2 linked regions of the Mus musculus genome follow. The protein of the gene in region 1 purifies or fractionates together with the protein of each later gene. This does not show direct contact. Links are inferred from orthologs where the notes say so. Each region holds a gene or a part of one and is shown in the gene's direction. Other genes may lie near its edges.

Region 1 (3,956 bases):
CCGCCACCAGGAGAAGGCGCGAGGACACGGACAAATTCCGCCCCCAAGCGGCGTGCGCTCAGGTGCTGCGCGTGCGCAGTTGGAAGTTGCTTCTGCGTCTGCGCAGCCGGAGTAGCCCGCCATCTTAAGAACGAAAGCCTAGTGAAACTACAAGTTCCATAATCCTCGCTGACATCTTTAGTTCCGCGCCCCCCCCCCCATAATATCCTGCGAAGCGCCCTAGGCACTTCATTCTTATCTCTGCCTCAAATCGCTTTCTCTTTCCTGTTTTCGTGCTATCACTCCCTACCTTTTAGTTGTCGTCACCCTCTTAAATTTTGAAACCATCTTGAGCTCCCCCCTTGCCTCTACAGTGCTCTTTCCTGACAAATAGTCTGTGGACTGGGAAACTCCGCCAGCCATCAGTCTGAGGATTCTGCATAGAATCAGTGCTTCCCATTGGCCGAAACAGGAGCCCAAACAGGTCGATACCCTTTCCCGCCCACATTCGCGGTGTGTCTAGCTGCAGGGATAATGCTGTAAAATCCGCAACGCTAGCGGGTGGCGCTGAGGGACCGATACGCAGGCGCTGCACTATGGCAGCGGCGTCCGAGGCCTGACGTAGGTGTAGGGAGGAGAGGAAGGCGTAGTTCTCTAGATGTTTGTCCCTGGTGGAAGGAGGAGGGCCGCTTGAACAACTGGGCCATTTCAGGGGAAGAGGAGTTTGGACAATCTCGATGTTTTAGTACTTGTTTGTTTTCAATTCAGAAAATATATTAAATAATATATTGCATTTTATTGATAACAGTTCTTGAGACAATGGTCTCGATTCCTTAGCCTACTTTATCATCCTCTCCTCAGGTTCTCCTAAGTCCTAATTCTAATGAGATAGGCTGGGGGCGGGGGGAAGGGGTGGGGAAAAGACCAGCGATCGCTCATGAATAATTCATGAGCCCGCCTCTTTCGCTGGGAATGCACGCCCCTTGGAAACGTGCTGACGCACGCTGCGTGTAATGAACCTAAGGAAACGACGTCACACTCCCCGCCCCTAGAGCGGAGGGGGCGGAACATCATCTCCAGCACGTGTTGCCCCTTCAACCCGCGCAAGTCCAAAAGGACTGTGCGCAGGCGCTCTCCAGGAGGGGCGGGGATGGGGGAGGAAGGAGGCGGGGCAGGGAGGTTGTTGGGTTTAGAGCCGGGCGGAGACGGCGGAGCCTCATTCCTCAGGAACAAGGGTCGGGTGTCAAGGAGACCTTTTCACACCAGCTCCCGTTCCCCGCCTACGGTGGGTGGGATCGCACGGCAGAGACAAAGGATATCAGTAGGGCTTGGACTTAGCAGCGAAGGGAAGTCGGGTGTCCGTGTGGGGCGGTGGGCGTCTCGGGCTGGGGGAGGGTGAGGTAATTAGGGAGGGGGGCTGTATTTAAACTCTCGGAGCCGTTAAGTTGGTTCGCACTCCCGATGCGCGCGCAGCCTGGGTGGTGGCGGAGCGCGCATGCGTGGGTCCTGGGCGAGCGGGACGCGCGCCCGTCGTGCGCGCTCGCGGCAGAGTGGTAGTGGCGGAGAAAAGGGAGTCGGCGCACGCGCAGTTGGTTCCTCGGCTTGTCCGGGTCTCGCGGGCATCTTGTTTTGGTCTCGCGGGCGAGTGGAGCGCGCTTGGTGTGTCGCGGGAGGGAGGTGGAGGCGCGAGGCAGAGCTGCGCGCGCACTCGGGGAAGGAGGGAGTGAGGTGGTCTTAGGAAGGGTTACAGGGGGCTTCCCCTTGCTCTCTTCTCAGTACCCTCGCTTGAGAAGGGGAAATTAAACAGGGAGAGGAGATGATCGAGATGGCGGCGGAGAAGGAGCCCTTTCTGGTGCCGGCCCCGCCGCCGCCGCTCAAAGATGAGTCGGGCGGAGGGGGCGGCCCCGAGGTGCAATCGCACCAAGAGGCTGCCTCCGGGGAGCTCCGTGATGGGACAGAACACGGGCCGGGCCCTCGCGCGCACTCGGCCGGGGCCGCAGCCAGCGGAGGGGGCGGCCCCCAGGCACAGGCGCACGGGGAGCCCCACGGGCGAGCCGCCGCTCCTGCGGACGTGGGGGAGGAGCGCCGGGGAGGGGGCGGGACGGACCTGGGTCCCCCAGCCCCTCCTCGACCTCGCAATGGCTACCAGCCCCACCGACCCCCTGGGGGTGGTGGGGGCAAAAGAAGAAATAGCTGTAACGTGGGGGGAGGGAGCGGTGGAAGCTTCAAACATCCGGCCTTCAAGAGGCGCCGGCGAGTGAATTCAGACTGCGACTCTGTGTTACCATCCAATTTCCTTCTGGGGGGTAACATATTTGATCCACTGAACCTGAATAGCCTCCTGGATGAGGAAGTGAGTCGCGCACTCAATGCGGAGACCCCAAAGTCATCCCCACTTCCGGCCAAGGGGCGAGACCCTGTGGAGATCCTCATCCCCAAAGATATTACTGACCCGCTCAGTCTCAACACTTGCACTGACGAGGCCCATGTAGTGCTTGCCTCACCACTCAAGATTGGTCGCAAGCGCCATAGACACCGGGGACCGCACCACCAGCAGCAGCAGCAGGCGTCTGGAGGGAATGATAGCAACGCCGCCGTGCTGCCCACTGACCCTCTCACGCCCTCACTCCATGGGGAGGGTGCTACGCAGCAGCAGCAAAACAGAGGCCAGAACCGTGATGCCCCTCAACCCTATGAACTCAACACAGCCATCAACTGCAGGGATGAAGTTGTGTCTCCCCTTCCATCTGCCCTGCAGGGTTCCTCAGGCTCCCTTTCTGCCCCTCCAGCTGCCTCAGTTACCTCTGCACCCTCTACTTCTTCCTCCTCCCGACATCGCAAACGTCGCAGGACTTCCAGCAAGTCAGAGGCAGGGGCTAGGGGTGGAAGCCAGGGTTCCAAGGAAAAGGGCAGAGGGAGTGGAGGAGGCCGTCACCACCACCACCCACTACCTGCAACTGGCTTCAAAAAGCAACAGCTAAAGTTCCAATATGGGAATTACTGCAAGTACTATGGCTATCGCAATCCTTCCTGTGAGGACGTGCGCCTTAGGGTGTTGAAGCCCGAGTGGTTTCAAGGCCGGGACGTCCTAGATCTGGGCTGCAACGTTGGCCATCTGACCCTAAGTATTGCCTGCAAGTGGGGCCCAGCCCGCATGGTGGGGCTGGACATTGATCCACGGCTTATCCACTCTGCTCGCCAAAATATCCGACACTACCTGTCGGAGGAGCTTCGTCTCCAAGCTCAGACTTCTGAGGGGGACCCAGGGACAGAGGGGGAGGAAGGGACTATCACTGTCCGAAAAAGGAGCTGCTTCCCAGCCTCACTGACAGCCAGCCGGGGTCCCATCGCTGCACCCCAAGTGCCCTTGGATGGAGCGGACACATCTGTCTTCCCCAACAATGTCGTCTTCGTCACGGTAAGAGTCCAAAGGCTCTTGGAATAGGGTTCAGATGTGAAGATGAGATTAAATAGGAATGTGTTGGGGGGATGGTCATGACCTAGAGGTGTATCCATGCGTCCATCTGTTCCTCCATACAAGAACCACCTCCTGGAGAGAACAGGATTGGCCAGAGAATCTCTACTGGGTGTTGTCTCTGCTCCTCTAACGTGGAAAGTGGGATCTCTACCTTGAGGCTCTAACACCTGGTCCTTTCTCATGACTACAGACAAGGATCTCATCCCCAACATAGCATGCCTTGCCCTGCTTCCACCTGGGACTGTAACCAGAGAGTCCACTTTCCCAAGGGTACTTCTGTTCAGTCCACATGGAACCTTGTCCTCAAGTCTCCTGAGGGAGCCTCAAGCTCGGTGTCTTTGGGAGAGGGGGAACACTCTGGTATTTGTCGTTTGGGGCCTTTGATAGGGACTCTGTTTGCCTCAGCTGCTTTCTGTTTCCCTAGATACAACACAAGACTGTTGAAATTGCTGGTCAGAAACCCATGGGTCTGTCTTCCCCATGCTGACTGAATAGTGAG
Region 2 (3,500 bases), on another chromosome or scaffold:
CCCTTGAGCAGCCAGGCTTTGCCACCTCGTACGTGCTCCAGGATGATGCCCACCTCTGCATCCCTACCAGCAAATGTGGAGGGAAGATAGGCCATAGTTGTTTCCTTAAGGCCACGATCTGGAAGTTGAAAATTGTCACTTTCAGTTCATATTTTGTAGACTTTTGTAGAACAAACTCCCACCTGCACATAGCATTGGAGACAGCTAGGAAATTAGAATGATTTGGGGTTGGTTACTAGAGAGGTGGAAGTAGGTATTGGGGATAGCAGCAGAGTCTGCCTCCCCCTCAGTAGACACCTGTCCTTGATGTCCCATTTAGACATTATCCACAAGTTCATCCGGGATAAATACTCAAAGAGATTCCCTGAGCTAGAATCCTTGGTGCCCAATGCTCTGGATTACATCCGCACAGTCAAGGTGAGTGGAGAGAAGTCTGGCTTGGGAAGAACTGGGGCCACTAGACCATGAAACCTCAAGTCTAGAAATAATGGAGAGTCATGAATGGGGCTCAGTGGTGAGGGACAGATACTGGAATGGATGTGTCATGCACATCTCTTGCTTCCTTCCTCCCCTTGGTTTCATGGGAGGATAACCACTGACCTGGCCCTTACCTCTGGCTGCAGTTGGAGCAGGTGTCCTTTGAGCTGGCAGAGGCCACCGCTGAATAAGAGCTAAGACCCTGCGTGGGAACAAGCAAGGATGAAGTCAGAAGGGGCAGGGAGGGAAGCTTGGAGAGGTCAGAAAGGGCAGAGAACATTAGATGTGGAAGGTGTTGGCTTCTCTACAAGGGATTGGAGCGAGTGGAAGTGAAAGAGCAGGGGTCCTGCCTCTGTCCAGGAGATCAGGATGGTGGCACAGGAATTGTGTCTGTGGAATAAAGTGCGCTTTTGACGGCCTCTTTAGTGCAGCATGTCTTCCTTGGAGGCTGCTTTGCCAGCTTGTACTTCTGCATCCGTAGAGCAGAGCAGGCACACTGATGCTTTAGGCAGGGAGGTTGTAAAAGTGTAAAAGGAAAGAGAGGCCTCCAGTGTATGGACCTTAGCTTTCCCAGCTTCCTCAAGGGGAGACCTCTGTTGGTGTTGTAGCAAAAGAGGGTCTTTTGGGCTTACTACAAATTCTCCCTCCCCTTCCTACCCCAGGAGCTGGGCAACAGCCTGGATAAGTGCAAGAACAATGAGAACCTCCAGCAGATCCTGACCAATGCTACTATCATGGTTGTTAGTGTCACTGCCTCTACTACCCAGGGGTATGTATGCCAAACGGTAATGTGCCGCAAGCCTACCATAGGACAATTAACAGGAGAGACAGAATGGAGGGCATGGTCAGAGTGGTGCTGACTGAGAATTATGGCCCCTAGACAGATGGAATTTTTATGATAGTCCCAGAACTAAACAAACACACATACATACACAGCTGAGACAGTAGATGGGGCTGACCACCAGTTAGAAATGTACCTAGTGGGGCTGGAGGGATGGCTCAGTGGGTAGGAGCACCGACTGCTCTTCTAAAGGTCCTGAGTTCAAATCCCAGCAACCACATGGTGGCTCACAACCATCTGTAAGGAGATCTGATGCCCTCTTCTGGAGTGTCTGAAGACAGCTACAGTGTATTTACATATAATAAATAAATACATCTTTTAAAAAAAAGAAAGAAATGTACCTAGCAAAGCTGGAGTCTGCCCACAACCCTCACGTGCTCCACAATGTAGGCAGCAGCTGTCGGATGAGGAGCTAGAGCGGCTAGAGGAGGCCTGTGACATGGCACTGGAGCTGAATGCCTCCAAACACCGCATCTATGAGTATGTGGAGTCCCGGATGTCCTTCATTGCACCCAACTTGTCCATCATCATTGGAGCATCCACAGCTGCCAAGATCATGGGTGAGGTCCCAGCGGGGTCCCTTTGGCAGAGTCTGCTGATAGGTTAGGTTGCCTTGGAAAGTGGGGTTTGGCCTATTGTGTTGTCCCCTGAAGTCAGAGGTCAGCCAGTTTGGCACATCCACACAATAGAAGCACAGCAACCCCCTTCTAGGTTGAGCTGGCTGGCTTAATTAGACCGCACAGATGGCCTCTTCCTGACAATAGGCCCATTTTAGACTCTGGAGCAACCACCGAGTACCGAAGTCAGCTCAGGCTTTCCTACTACTTGGGGCAGCAAATCCTCCCATATGCTATGCTCTTCTCCTGGAAGCTCCTGTAGCAGAGTCCCTTCCCTCATTGCAGAGAGGTGCTTGAAAAGGGAATATGGGGAAAATCACCATCTTTGCTTACTTAGCTTCAGTCTTGAGGCCCTCTGGCCAGGCTGTTTCAGAGCTGGCAAAGGCTGAGACCAAGGTGCTGTGAGACCTCTCCAGAGGCCTCTGCCTGGCTCAGACGTGTCTTCTGTGTCTTCATGGAGTTACACCACTTGTATCTGTGTCCTTATCTCCTTTCCTTACAAGCATTCCAGTCGGATAGAGTCAGGATCCATATGACCTTATTTTACCTCAGCCATCTTCTTAAAGATTCTGTGTCCTGTGCTAGAAAGATGGCTCAGCTAGTAAAAGAACTTGCTGCCCAGGGTTGGCAGCCTGAGTGTGGTGATTCCCCCAAACCCACATCCAAGTGGGAAGAGCTAAGTCCCAAAAGTGTCTTCTGGTCTCCATTCACACACCCTACTTATACACATAAAATAATAAAAATAAAATACCCCCCAAAAGATCCATATCCTCCTAGATGCAGTAGCTCATACTAGTAACGCCAGTATCTAGAAGGCTGAGGCAGGAGGATTACTTTGAGTTTGAGACCAGCCTTGGCTACAGAGTGAAATACTTGTTATCAAACCAGCCAACAAATGAAGGAGCAAAGACGTCGTAGTCACTGTTCTATTGCTGTGAAGAGACAACTGGGGCTTACTTTTAGAGGCTTAAGCCATTATCATCATGGGAGGAAACACAGCGGCAGGCAGGTATAGTGCTGGAGATGTAGATGATCCACAAGCAGACACACACACACACACACACATGTGGGACCTGGCATGGGCTTTTGAAACCTCAGAATTCACCCCCAGTGATACATGTCTTCCAACAAGGCCACGCCTCCTGATCAGTCTAGTCTATCCATGAGTTTCACCTCATGGTGACTTTATGCGCCTATGGGAGTCACTCTTACTCAAAGCACAAAGGTATACATGAGCTCCTGGATGGAAGTCCTGGGCTCTGACCTCACCTCTTGTTGCAGGTGTGGCTGGAGGGCTCACCAACCTCTCTAAGATGCCTGCCTGCAACATCATGCTGCTGGGAGCCCAGCGCAAGACCCTGTCTGGCTTCTCTTCTACCTCAGTGTTGCCTCATACTGGTTATATCTACCACAGTGACATTGTGCAGTCTCTGCCCCCAGTGAGTCCTTCACCTTGTCCCCTTCCCCCAGCCACCAGGCCTTATCTGGCTTGGCTGGCAATATTCCTCAGGCTCCTGGAGGATACCATTCTGGGGCCACCACTTGGCAATAATAGTTGGGTGGCT

What was found. The genes of interacting proteins can lie anywhere in the genome.
Region 2: the proteins of Mepce (region 1) and Prpf31 purify together in Homo sapiens (affinity purification with mass spectrometry; 3 studies listed by BioGRID and IntAct, counting the BioPlex papers as one, with this or other methods). This does not show direct contact. The link is inferred for Mus musculus from reciprocal best matches to the Homo sapiens genes MEPCE and PRPF31.

The regions. Positions count from the first base shown.
Region 1 is NC_000071.6:137,783,902-137,787,857, reverse strand, and holds the start of Mepce (7SK snRNA methylphosphate capping enzyme), read left to right. Parts: upstream 1-1,156; 5' UTR 1,157-1,795; coding exon 1,796-3,397; intron 3,398-3,956. UniProt on the Homo sapiens protein: S-adenosyl-L-methionine-dependent methyltransferase that adds a methylphosphate cap at the 5'-end of 7SK snRNA (7SK RNA), leading to stabilize it.
Region 2 is NC_000073.6:3,632,985-3,636,484, forward strand, and holds part of Prpf31 (U4/U6 small nuclear ribonucleoprotein Prp31), read left to right. Parts: intron 1-53; exon of another isoform or gene 54-319; coding exon 320-417; exon of another isoform or gene 418-1,139; coding exon 1,140-1,246; exon of another isoform or gene 1,247-1,708; coding exon 1,709-1,878; exon of another isoform or gene 1,879-3,216; coding exon 3,217-3,374; exon of another isoform or gene 3,375-3,500. UniProt on the Homo sapiens protein: Involved in pre-mRNA splicing as component of the spliceosome. Required for the assembly of the U4/U5/U6 tri-snRNP complex, one of the building blocks of the spliceosome.